Neodiprion lecontei: one gene and its partner. The protein of the gene in region 1 purifies or fractionates together with the protein of each later gene. This does not show direct contact. Links are inferred from orthologs where the notes say so. Each region holds a gene or a part of one and is shown on either strand. Other genes may lie near its edges.

What was found.
Region 2: the proteins of dnaJ homolog subfamily C member 3 (region 1) and dnaJ homolog shv purify together in Homo sapiens (affinity purification with mass spectrometry; 3 studies listed by BioGRID and IntAct, with this or other methods). This does not show direct contact. The link is inferred for Neodiprion lecontei from reciprocal best matches to the Homo sapiens genes DNAJC3 and DNAJB11.

What each region holds. Positions count from the first base shown.
Region 1 is NC_060263.1:26,116,326-26,123,982, forward strand, and holds dnaJ homolog subfamily C member 3, read left to right. Parts: upstream 1-2,097; 5' UTR 2,098-2,242; coding exon 2,243-2,291; intron 2,292-2,393; coding exon 2,394-2,504; intron 2,505-2,766; coding exon 2,767-2,966; intron 2,967-3,479; coding exon 3,480-3,805; intron 3,806-3,891; coding exon 3,892-4,235; intron 4,236-4,318; coding exon 4,319-4,743; 3' UTR 4,744-7,121; downstream 7,122-7,657. Other genes in the region: dynein regulatory complex protein 9, read right to left, coding at 7,330-7,644. UniProt on the Homo sapiens protein: Involved in the unfolded protein response (UPR) during endoplasmic reticulum (ER) stress.
Region 2 is NC_060261.1:31,356,438-31,361,736, reverse strand, and holds dnaJ homolog shv, read right to left. Parts: upstream 3,361-5,299; 5' UTR 3,271-3,360; coding exon 3,200-3,270; intron 3,031-3,199; coding exon 2,646-3,030; intron 2,299-2,645; coding exon 2,030-2,298; intron 1,909-2,029; coding exon 1,622-1,908; intron 1,501-1,621; coding exon 1,436-1,500; 3' UTR 787-1,435; downstream 1-786. Other genes in the region: uncharacterized protein LOC107225880, read left to right, coding at 1-17; alpha-methylacyl-CoA racemase, read left to right, coding at 4,216-4,323, 4,431-4,722, 4,809-5,055, 5,136-5,299. UniProt on the Homo sapiens protein: As a co-chaperone for HSPA5 it is required for proper folding, trafficking or degradation of proteins.

The DNA of each region.
Region 1 (7,657 bases):
TCTAGATTTTCATTGAAAAAGTCGTGATAATTGTATATCGGTATGTATGATTTTTCGTTGTTTTTTTTTCGAGAGAAGAAAGGAAAAAAATTGATCCGTTATGCATATACTTCTTTCGATGTTTAATGACGAGGTAACAAGTAGCAGTAAAGTTTATCATCTGCGTACAGAATTTTTCATACCGAACGACGTGCATGCCCAATTAATACACAATCCATTTCAATTTTTACTAATAAATAATTATTACACAATTTTCATAGTAAAAGAAAAAATGATATAGATATATCGCATTGGCGAATGTACCATTCGGTCAGAGATTTACTAGTGATCACAGGTTTAATATGCTATCTTAGTTGAATTATAAAAAAAAAACCTAGAAAAATTAAAATAACACAAAAAAAATATATCAATCCAATCACTTGTACCTTGTGCAGGTATTCCAATCAATAAAAAGAAAACAATAATTAAAAAAAACTACGTACATTATTGTCTTAAACATATGAAATACCTGAAATACTGCTTTAAAAACGCGTGTTTTTCCTTTGCATTTCACACGAGTACCCAATTCCGTTTAGGGTAATTAATAAACTGGTGCAGCAAGGCTACGATTAATTAAATTTCCAAAGGAACAATCTGATTTAATATGAATGTATCGTACTGCATACGTTCACAATGATTATCGGATCAAACGTTATTTGTTTGTTTGTAGTATTATGTTAGTTATTACAGATGTGAGGAGTGACAGGAGAATAGCTAAAAGCAAATGATACAATAAAGATTAAAGATAAAAGCAACAAGAATGATGCAGCTTCAAGTGTATTTATTTCTATCAGTTCCGTAATAAAGGTCTCTATAGCAATAATTATATTTCAGGGAATTATCCGATTTCAATGTTGAATTACAGAATCCATTGTATCCGCAATAATCGTTATTCAAATATTTTGTGGAATGGAAATGTTGGATGCAAAACAGGCAAGATATTTACTACAGACATCCGAGGCCGTTCTCCCTTCTGTGCCCTTTATTCGTTAGTCTGTATAATTTGTTGAAACTTTTTTTCACAAACTCAGTTTCCAAGTTATTCAAGTTTTTCAACGGCCTCGAACTTGACGGGACATCCGATACTATAATAATCGAGATTTGAAAAGTGGGAAAAATTGTAAGTTGAGCATTCTCAAACATTTGTACAATTTCCTTCAGAATATTTCATCTTTGGAGAACACTTTGACTTGTCCATCAGATGTGATATACAAATTGCTCATTATCTTGGATTGATTGTAAATTTTTGGAGCGTTGACTGCCGTTTTCACATTTATTAATTTCGTGACCGAATAGGTACTCAATTTTATCCTATAATACCATTACCAATAAATATTACATACTGTCAGAGAAACGAGCGGTCTGGTTTCAAATTCAAGCATTGTCATGTAATTATTCAGTATTATCAATAAACAAGGCGTAACTCCTACAAACTTTGTATAGTACTAAAAATTTGTTAAATCATAAATATTTTTAAAGGTTTCATATTTAATCTCGATACGATTTTTTCGTTTACACAGTTTGTCCTACGTGTATTCGAGTAAATTGCGAAGTATATTGATGTCTATCAAATTTGTCGCAAAGCATGTGCCGTGATGATATTAATCGCAATGCCAATAAAAATATTGTGCCAGTAATGGATTTTATCAGGCATTGACTTTTTTTTTATCAGACATTGGGTAGTATCGAATCTGAATAGCTTCGATTGATTATCGTCCGATATTTTTTGTATTCTGCCAAAAACTATGAGAATATAAATTTTCACTTATTACTTCTTTCGAACAACCAAGAGCCTCACGACTATGCGGCTATTATTTGACTGCTGTAACATTGAACGTATTCTACATGATTCGTGATAAATCGAATAATTTTTTAATCCTTGGCCATTTCGTTGGCGAAAGAATATCAAATTTCAAATTTATGGGTGATTACGCGGATGCCATAGGCGTAGCATCTACTTACGGAAGGTGAAATAGAGTCGCCGTCGTGACACGCTGCCTAATTTGCGGACGTAATCACGTGTGTTCCTCGATCATGAAGTTCAATGAGTTGGACCAATGAGGATAGACCACGATCGCAATGGCGGTACGGCTAGTCAGTTTTGCGATATCGGGGAGGCGAGTCAACGTTTGTGTACACTGTTGTTAAGTTTGAAGCATAATCCAACGGAAAACAACCTCTGCAAACGTCGATTCTTCCAGTCATGTTTCAATATTGGCTGATACTGGTTGTATTAGAACGGTCCTTAGATGGTGAGTTACTCTAACCTTTTTCGCGAAACTATTTCTCTTCCCATTGCCTGCACTTCTCTCGGCTGAGCATTTAAACAATTTGAACGCTTTTCACTTTCACAGCTGCTCTGAGCGTTTCTCAGGCCGAGATTGACAGGCATTTAGAACTAGGGAGGGAATTTTTAGCCAGAGGTCAACTTCAAGATGCCTTGTCCCATTATCATGCCGCAGTGGGTGAGTGAATTTTGTACATGAATAATTATATGATTTAACTTTTACCTCGGTCAAGTGTTTCTATTCTTGTTTATCCGAAAATTCTGTTTCTTCGTTTACACACATCAAAAATTATAGTTCATCAAAGACAGGCAGCTCGTTCTGATGTTTCTAGACTTTTTGAAAACCTGTTGATTTCTTTGTCGTACGTCACAGTTGATTCAGTCAATCCCTAAAATTACAAACACATGTGATGACGCTTCAATTTTCTTTACTTACGCAGAGGGTGATCCGAATAACTACCTCACATATTACAAAAGAGGTACGGTGTACTTAGCCCTCGGTAAAGCAAAGTTCGCCTTATTTGATTTGGACAAAGTTTTGGAATTGAAGCCTGATTTTCATGCCGCTAGATTACAGCGTGGTAACGTATTGTTGAAACAGGCCGAATTAGACGCAGCTGAAGTCGACTTTCATAATGTGGTAAGTGTTTCTGACTCAAGATACCTCCATTTCCTCATAACCGTAGCTATGTAAGTTTTCCCAGTATTTGACTTTTTTTTTGGTCTAAATGTCTAATTCTTATTGTATTTATGTTGAATGTTACGTATTTCTACTAAGATTTTCTTGGAGCGAAAGACCGAATGCAAATGGGAATTGCAATCCTTGCAACTCTATTGGAAAGCATTGTTCTTGTAGCTGTTGTTTCACATTACTGTATCAAGCTCGACGCTTACTTTAATATAAACGTGTATATTGCAGTGATCAAGCCACCACAGTTTACATACATAATACTTCATTTCATGTGATCACATATGGTATTAAAGTATAGAATCGATCTGTTTCACTTTCTTTACCATAATCGGCTGGAAACAGATTAGATTAGATATGTATCCTGAGAGTAGCCTTTTCATCATTTGATTTACTAAGATTTCTCAGAATACAAATAAAGTAAAATGGCAAATACTTGAATAATTGATTTTTACGTCTGTTCAGCTGGCATTTGATCCGTCGAACGAAGATGCTTTGAATGGGTTGTACAAATTATCTCCAGTCAGGGAGGATATTCAGCTGGCTGAAGTGTTATCACAAAGTGGTGATTATCCAGCAGTTATTCAGTTGATAAATCGAATAATAGAAGTTTGCCCTTGGGCATCGCACCTTCGGGAACTGAGAGCCGAGAGCCATGCAGCATTAGGTGATTACATGAACGCTGTTTCTGATATACGATCGACGACAAAACTTTTGGCCGACAATACTCAGGGATACTTCAAGCTCTCTTCGCTATTGTATCGCCTGGGCCAAGTCGACGAGTCTCTCAAGTGAGTGTCTTCTTTGAGCAGCAGTTTTTCAATAGTTGATATTAATATATTGTTCAAAAATTATTTCTTTCAATTTCGTGTGTTAGGGAAATTCGGGAGTGCTTAAAGTTGGATCCGGAACACAAACAGTGCTTTCCACATTACAAAAAAGTCAAGAAGATTGCGAAGTTTATAAACGATGCAGAGACATCTGAAGAGGCTAAAGATTATGAAAGTTGCATTGACGGAAGTAAGCGTGTTCTCAAAAATGAACCGCACGTACAAAATGTGCGTTTTCTAGCTGCCCAATTGCTCTGCCGATGTCATCTTGGTAACAATGATCCTGCTAAAGCTATAGAAAATTGTCACGACGCTCTCGAGATCCAACGAGAACCAGGCCTATTCTGTGATAGGGCAGAAGCCTACATTGCTGCTGAACAATATGACGATGGTATGTTACAGCAAATAAGTTTTGTTGTATAGATTTTTTTGTATCGAATGCAAGTACAACATAATTTCGTTTATTTCAAACAGCGATCAGGGATTTCAAAGAGGCACTGGAAATAGATCCAAATTTGCAAAGAGCTAAGGATGGTGTTCAGAGAGCGCAGAGATTGCAAAAGCAATCAGAATCCCGAGACTACTACAAAATCCTTTCAGTTCCAAGAACCGCCTCCAAAAAGGAAATCGTCAAAGCTTATAGAAAGGCGGCTCAAAAATGGCATCCTGACAACTTCCAAGAAGGGGAAGAGAAGAAGCGTGCAGAGAAAAAGTTCATTGACATCGCTGCAGCTAAAGAAGTATTGACTGATCCTGAAAAACGTGCAAAGTTTGATCAGGGCGAGGATCCGCTAGATCCTGAATCTGGACGACAACAAGGATTCAATCCCTTCCACGAATTTTCACACTTCGCACGCCCTCACGGCTCACCCTTCCAATTCAAGTTCCACTTCCCTTAGCAAAATCAAGAAACTCAGTAGTTCTATTGAATTTTTAATGACGACGATATACGAAAACACGTCGGGCATTTGCTATTACAACAATATGTATAACTAAACGCACTGCAGAACTCCGCCTTTCTTTTCCTGTCGGTTATCTAATGGGTGTGAGTGAATTTAGGTCGCAGACGTGAATTTTATATCAAATTGCTTGACCGAATTATCGAAGAGTACTGGATACCAAAGAAATCGTAATAGGACAGTCTCTAATTTATGCACATTTTTCAAACTGCTCATGATTTTCTTGTTTAAGTGAAACAAGAGATAAACATTCACAAGATATTATACTAGAAATCTTCAGCAAACGCTTCAGATGCATTTTAAATTTTCGATTCAATGTTGTACATTTAAATTCATGCGTTCATACTGCCTGTAGTAATCGATAGCTTCATCTCTTCATATCGCAATTATTACCAAAGCACTGTAAATTGGGGTTCGAAATTATTAGGATTACTTCCTGAAGTGGCTACGTCCCATTTAAGCTGAACCCGAGTTCCGCTTATTTATTTACGATAAAAAATGTTCAGTAATGAAGTGGTGAAATACCTTGGGCAACCGTGTTTGTCACTTAGTTTTTTTTTTTTTTTTTTACATAGCCGCTGCATACAACGAATGTTTTCACTGAAACTGGGTTTACAAAATCTAATAGAAATTACGTGAATTCATTCCTAACTACTCTTACTTTATCTTCAAAACATTATTAATACCCATATGTTTATTATACACAAAACTTTGAATCTGGTCGAACTAAATACATAAATTTTCGTACTGAAATAGGTTATGAGATATTGAGAAAATTTATTTAATCGTGCTCTGGGCTGATCTGTTATACCGTTACTTGGCTTTCGTGTTACGAAAATAAAATTTGACAAATCCTAACAATAGTTTGACCGAATTTTTTAGCATCTTATTTTTGGGAAGTAGAACTACAATCTTTGTCGAAAGATGCAATAACAGATTTTACTGTATTAAACTGTATGATATCTATGAGCAATCGTTTCAATTGCTCTCACATTTTTATTACATTGCTCTTTGACCCTGAATTTAAATTACTTCAGGTTGAAAAATATACTTCTAAGGTACAGCAGCATCACTTGTTAACAAGATTGCAGCACGTAATTGGTAATATGCTGGAGTCCTCTTTACTGATTGCGTTTACGTTCTAAAGTTTACATTTTCTTTGACTCGCCTTTATTTATTCGTAAAAGAATATGTAACTTTACATTCATATGATTTACAAACACATGTCGAGGTCTTACGGTAATGGATATATAGTTATACATATTGAAAGCACAATTTCTTATTTCGTTCTGGTATCCACTACTCTTCCTTTTTCTGATTCGGAATAGGCAATTAGTGTAAAAAAAAAGAATCAAGCTGCCTGAAATTAATTTTTATCGTATTAATTGCTAGTGGGATTAGAAACAGTTTGCGATTCTGCAACTGGGCGTGAAAAAGTTGATGAATCTTCTACACGCACACGGAACTTTCAGTTAACTCCTCGTATTTCGAGAGATATCAATGTTCCGATCTTATTCACAGAGTAGACACAGATTTCTCTCAATTGCCAAACAGCTATTGCGGATACTCGCGTGAAGCCATTAATAAGTTTCTAATCTTCGTAGGTGCAATTAATTGTTGCGAAGTTCTCTTTAATATGATAAAAAAAAATCGAAACGACGTGAGAAGTGAACAGACTTCCAGGGTCCAAAAGACATTATTATAGCGTGAATAATTAATTTTTCGTTTGTAAATGTTTTATTTTTACCCTTAGAAGTCTCAACACGTATATTATTATATACATACAGGACGAGTGATGTAAATCTTTGGATAGTGAGTATCATCTCTACTCGTCGTAATCCAAAACAAAAGCTACGGAATAGGTGCCACTTCCCTTTTGATCAAAAGCGGTGGGTGTATGTATACGTGCATGATTGTACATACTTGTAATTTGTGCATCAAATTATGCCGATACTTCAGATGCTGGGCTATTATGTGTAGTCTTGTATCCCGAGAAGTTGGCATATATACAAATGCGCGCGCGTGTGTGTGTGTGTGTGTGTGTGTTCTTGTACATACTGTGTCACTGATAAGTTTGTTTAAAAATATATTTGAATAATTTATATTACTACGGAGAAAATTTTTATTTATCTTTTTTACAGTATTATTTCAGATGATTGGGATCCCATCTTTCAATACTAATTTCTGTGATATTTGGAAATAAAACAAAAGGGGATAACATATCACATTGTTGTAAAAATAAACAAGTTACTGGCTAAAGTCGAATTCAGCAAAGTAGCTTGAAATATAACGTAGTAAAAAAAAAAAAAAAAAAAAAAGTCGGAAGATTAGTATATGTACGTATATGACATATTCCAAAAACAGGTGTAGTATGGAATTATCGCGTAATAAAAAAGTAAAACATTACTCGAATATTCCAATTAAAAAATCACTGTGGTGATAAGGTCAATTTTATTTTTTTCGGTATAATGCGTCACGTGCTGTGATGAGATATTTAATCGAAGAACTCTGAAGTTTGGTTCATGGTTATTTTTTCTTTTTCGAGGGTGAAGTCCTAGGCTTCTTACGTCCTTTTCCAGCCATCTTCTGGGCTTTGCCACCCTTGCCTTTGCGTTTCTTTAACCGTGCTCGGAGCCCTTTGAAGGGGCCGATTTGTTTTCGAACCATGTACCCCCTCCACTGTGCCTGAATGAGGGTGGCGACCCGATGAATTTCTCGCCAGTATTCCTCTTCCTTTCTAGCTCGCTCCTTTTCCGCTAGTACTTCGTCGATGAAAACTTGCCTGGCGTCTCTCAACAAGCTCAGTTCCTCTAGTTCAACTAATTGACCTTCGATGTGATCCTGGAGCGATACA
Region 2 (5,299 bases), on another chromosome or scaffold:
ACTGTTTCTGTCCGTGATTATGAACACCGCACATCACACATATCTCATGGATGTTATATACTTTTGATATTTTATAGTATTTTAAATAAATATTATACAATGTTGAGCCGTTATTTCACGATCACGTATTTGAATTCAGGTTTCGCTCGAAGAGTGAACCCGACTATCTGGGAACAAGTTCAAATACCCGACCTACGCATCTTTGTTTTTGAAACTGTGATACAGAATTAATTTTAATTAGATACAAATGTTGACGTGTAGTAGCGTATCTCAGGTGGAAAGTTTGCCAAAGTTGTGTGGAAAACATGTTTTTACTTGTTAGTTTACTTTACACCGAATTTAAACACCGGGATAAAATCAACATGGCGGCCGTTGACACGCTTCAAATTTTGTTATGACTGTAGGATCATTTTAGGTACAAAAAAGACACCAGGTGCAATTTCATGCCTGTCGAAATAATGGCAACAGTATTTTAGTTATATTTCTTGTATTATTTCCAGTATTTCGCCGATAAGCGCTTATAAACTGGGGATTTTTTGTCGGGTCTTCGGGGTTTTTTGAAAAATGTCAACAATCGTGAGTTGGGTGATATATTTCGTTTTGTACGTCTCTTGGCGCGACTTTTGTTCTGCCAATAATTATAAGAGTTTGAAGTGTCATTCGAAAATCGTTGTATCGATTTGACTCGACCAAGAGAGGGGAGCAATTTGTTTTCTGATAATAATCGACGAGGGAATAGCATGTGGCTGCAGTCGTACAAGGTATGAATAAATAAATACTGCATTATTGATTTTTCACTTACTGCATAACTTGTGAATATCATCATGCATTGCATATATTAATAGTTGTACATTATTAATGCAAAAATTTTCTTAAGTCTATGCGTCGCAATAATTTCTGCGCATCCTATTGGCCATTCACACATCAGTAATCATAATGATACTAATAATAACTTATAAATTACACATCATCCGTTCGGTTCTTGTTCAGTAGAATAAAGATAATGAAATACATTACGTAAGGCAGTCATTATAAATTTTCTATCTCATGTTATTTGAAGAGAATTAGAAGAAATCTTTATAGCCGGCTAGGATGCTGCGACATGTGCTCCATGTATTTTTACGTTCAAAAAACATCCGTATAATTGAAACAAGACGCAGCATCATAACATGCAACATTTTCAATTAACTGTTTGTCAAACATACAAAATTATCGAATCTAATAATGAATTAACTATTTTTGTTTACATATGAATGTCAATCTTTAAACAACTTGGCGGAAATTGAACGAGTTGTAGTTGGAAATCGTAAACTATTGAGCCCTTCTTAAATAACGCCGACGGATCATTCGTTGGCGCACAATTCATGATGTTGCCTGCTACGTTATTCTTTTTCATTATTGATAATTCTCTTAATTGTTGATTTAATTTTTTTCACTAATACCCTCTTAGTCCATTGTACACTTTGTTTACAGAACCTTGCCGCAGGAGCTTCTTGATATCTGTAAGTAGAATTAGACAGTTATACACTACACTAATACAATCCTTGCATGCATTATAAAACCATAAATTATCGAAATGGGAGGTACAGAAAACAAAGTAAGTCATAACGAAGATTTTTACCTTCTTTTTCGGTTTCCGAAAATTCGGATTTTGGGAACTCTACGTTAAACGTGATGTACAAAGTACCATGAAGGTTGTTATTTTCATAATTGGGCATGCCCTCGCCCTTCTTTCGGATCCTAGCTCCTGGCCAAGTTATTTTATCCCTCTGTATGGTGACTTTGTGCCCATCTAGGTGATCGATCTCCATAGTGAACCCTATCAAAGCGTCCTGCAGAGATATAGTCACATTGGCATAAAGATCATCTTGAACTCTTTCGAAAACGGGATGCGGTTGGGTGCGTATTCTGGAAATTTAACAAAGTTTTCACATTAATACAGAAAGGCTACTCCCTGTTTGAATGGTAATCAACAGTAACATGCAGTTCTCATTGCAAACACATCCCCCCTGTCCTTTTTTGACCTTACTTGATTATCAAATCTCCGGGATCTCCATCCAAATGCGGTTCCCCTTCGGCAGTGAATCTCGTTTCCTGTCCATCCACCATCCCCGGTTCCACTTCGACTTCCAGTGTCCGTTCTTCGTTTACTAATCTGACGTTCGGACATTCGTCGCAAACTGTTTGCTGCATCATCTGGAATCTACCTGGGCCTAGATTTCGTGTTACCATTTCTTGCCTGCAGTTACACTTTCGCGTTCCCGCGGCAGCTTTCATTACTGGCTTGTTCCTTGTTATCTGCATGATCCAAAAAAACTAGATTAGAACTGTCTTCAAATCAGATGCCTTCAACTCTACTAATTTTCAGATGACCATAATAAATTAGAGGCCTAGTTATTGTGAAACAAGCTATAACATTCATAACCAGATTCGCCAAATTAATAACATTACTACAAAATTGCATTATTTTGAAGAGTGATAATATGAAACTAAGTCCACGGAGTATAATTATTATTCGAACAATCACGTTAAAATACTTTTTAAATTAGAATTGATCGAAATTATTATCAGTGATTTCAACAGACAGCCTGGAATGAAACTAATTCAATCAAAACACGAATAGTTTGAGCTAAGTGATATCGAACCTCTATAAAGTTTCCGCTATAAAGTTCTTCCAACGTCACTGGCAGTTCCATGACAATGTTTGCTCCCTTGGGGGTTTCATGTTGGTGCTGTGAATCACCGCCAAAATGAAATCCAAAGTCACCAAAGAAGCTGGCAAAGGGATCGGCATTGTTCATCATGCCATCTTTTTTCAGACACTCCTCACCACACCTATCGTACATTTCTCTTTTTTCTGTGTCAGAGAGAACCTCGTAGGCAGCCCCCAAGTCCTGGAACTTTTGTGATGAGTCCGGATCATCCTTGTTCTTATCCGGGTGCAATTCCTTGGCCAATCTTCTGTACGCCTTTTTTATTGTATGGGTATTTGCATTTCGTGATACCCCGAGGATGGAGTAGAAGTCCCTCCTTTAAATGATTTTCATATACACGTCAACGATTTGTCTTAATAAAAAGATTCGAGGTTATGTATTGGACTGCTCTCTTTTTAATAGCATAATACAAGCATTTGTGACTTAATGATTGATCGTTTTTGGTTAAGATATGATTTCGGTTTATATGATAAAATTAGACTCACCCGGCCAGTACAAATAGAACGCATAGAATTAAATTGACTAGAAATATCCTGGTTAATTGTGCCGCTGCCATCCTAGCAGACGTTTAGCTATCACCATACGTAGCGTCATGTATAAGTGCATCCACATCCAACTCTGGTCGTGGTTCTCTGTGATTGGCTTGACGCGATTTGACATAAACAAAAAAAAAACCGATAGATAAGAAACTTCGTCACACTCACTCCGTGGTGTTTCATTGTTTGGTATTTGAGCTGCCTGACGGCCTATAATAAAAAGTGAAGTGAATTACGTACTTTTCGAATAAATCTTATATTCTAATTTCGAATAATTTTACTTTTTGCTCTACGTGTTGACGTAGTTTTCATTAAGCTGGCTACCCTCTTTCATTTCGCCATAAAATACGTCGATCGGCTTATAATTAGCGTACCAGTTACCAACGGTAGATGGTGAGTCTTATCCCGGAATTATATTTACGAACACACCCCAAATGCCGTGGGTTTCCCCTTTTTATTTTCTAATAATGTATATTGATACATCCTCGTACATGCCAGTTTAAAGGGGTGTCATTTGACGCAGATATAAAAAGATGGCATGAATTCTACGATTTACTATAGCAATTTCGTAGAATCCATGCCATTTCTATGTTTCTGCGTCTAAAGAAAACACATTGTACTGTTTTTGTTCAGGATTGCGTATAGAATGCAACTGTTGAGCCCTTTTACGCGTTTGACATACGTGGACTTGGATATTTAGAGATAATATATACGTCGACGTCGAAAGCGACCAGGGCACCCCTTTAGGTGAGATCGGTACGTATGCTCTCTGCGTATTTTCAGCGGCTGATAATTTACGCAACGGTTGCTATCCCCTCTCTTGACCGATGAGTTCCAAACGTTTCAAAGTAGGGATAAGATTACTAGTAAAAGATTAATCCAGTAAGTCTATAAGCTTTTGAGTATAAGAGCACATTGTAATTCAGTAGAACGGAAACATACCTGGTATCTGATCTTGTTTCAAAATGCCACTGCGAGGAATCAAAGTTATCGAACTAGCCGGACTCGCACCAGTACCTTTTTGTGGTATGATATTATCAAATTTTGGGGCATCAGTGGTCAGAGTAGACAGAGTAAGAATTTTAATAAACTATAGTATTCAGACTATGTATTGAGAACATCAAAAGTCCAAGAAAATTGACATTATTTTTAATGAATAAATCATATGCATTCATTATAGGCTTCCAGTGAAGTGCCAAATATTGCTATTGATTTCTTGGGCAATGGAAAACGTTCTGTAGGATTAAATCTCAAGTCTAAAGAGGGTACTGATATACTGAAAAAGATGTCTCAACAGAGCGATGTTATTCTTGATCCATTCCGACCAGGCACTATGGAAAAACTGGGACTAGGTCCAGACACTCTAATGCTAAAAAACAAGAGACTCATCTACGCAAGGCTAAGTGGATTTGGACAAACTGGTCCATATGCCAAGATGGCTGGGCACGATATAAATTATGTCGGTTTATCTGGTAAGACAATCGCAAATCTTCAGAATATTTTGATATGATTTAATATCTATCGCTATAAAATAATGACTAGTAAAGCTGTTACACAGGTCTGCTTTCGCTCTTCGGTAGACACCATGAGAAACCAACTCCACCTGTAAATCTTACTGCAGACTTCGGCGGTGGCGGCTTGACCTGTGCTTTCGGCATAGTCCTTGCATTGCTGGAACGAACACGGAGTAATGAGGGTCAAGTAATTGATGTTTCTATGGTTGAGGGTTCAGCATACTTGGGGAGCTGGTTATACCGCTCGCAAGGACTTGCCGGACTATGGGGACAACCCAGAGGAAAAAATTTGTAGGGAAAATTAGGATAGATTATCATTCAAAAGACAACAAGTGTTGATTTGTTTTCATATTTTTAATTGGTTACTTCAGGTTGGATGGAGGAGCTCACTTTTATGATACATACGAAACAAGGGATGGACAATTCATGGCTGTCGGTGCCCTTGAGCCTCAATTCTATGCAGTTTTGTTAGAGAAACTAGGTCTTTCAGAAGACGACTTGCCCCAGTTTGGAGACTTTGAGGAAAGTCGTTCAC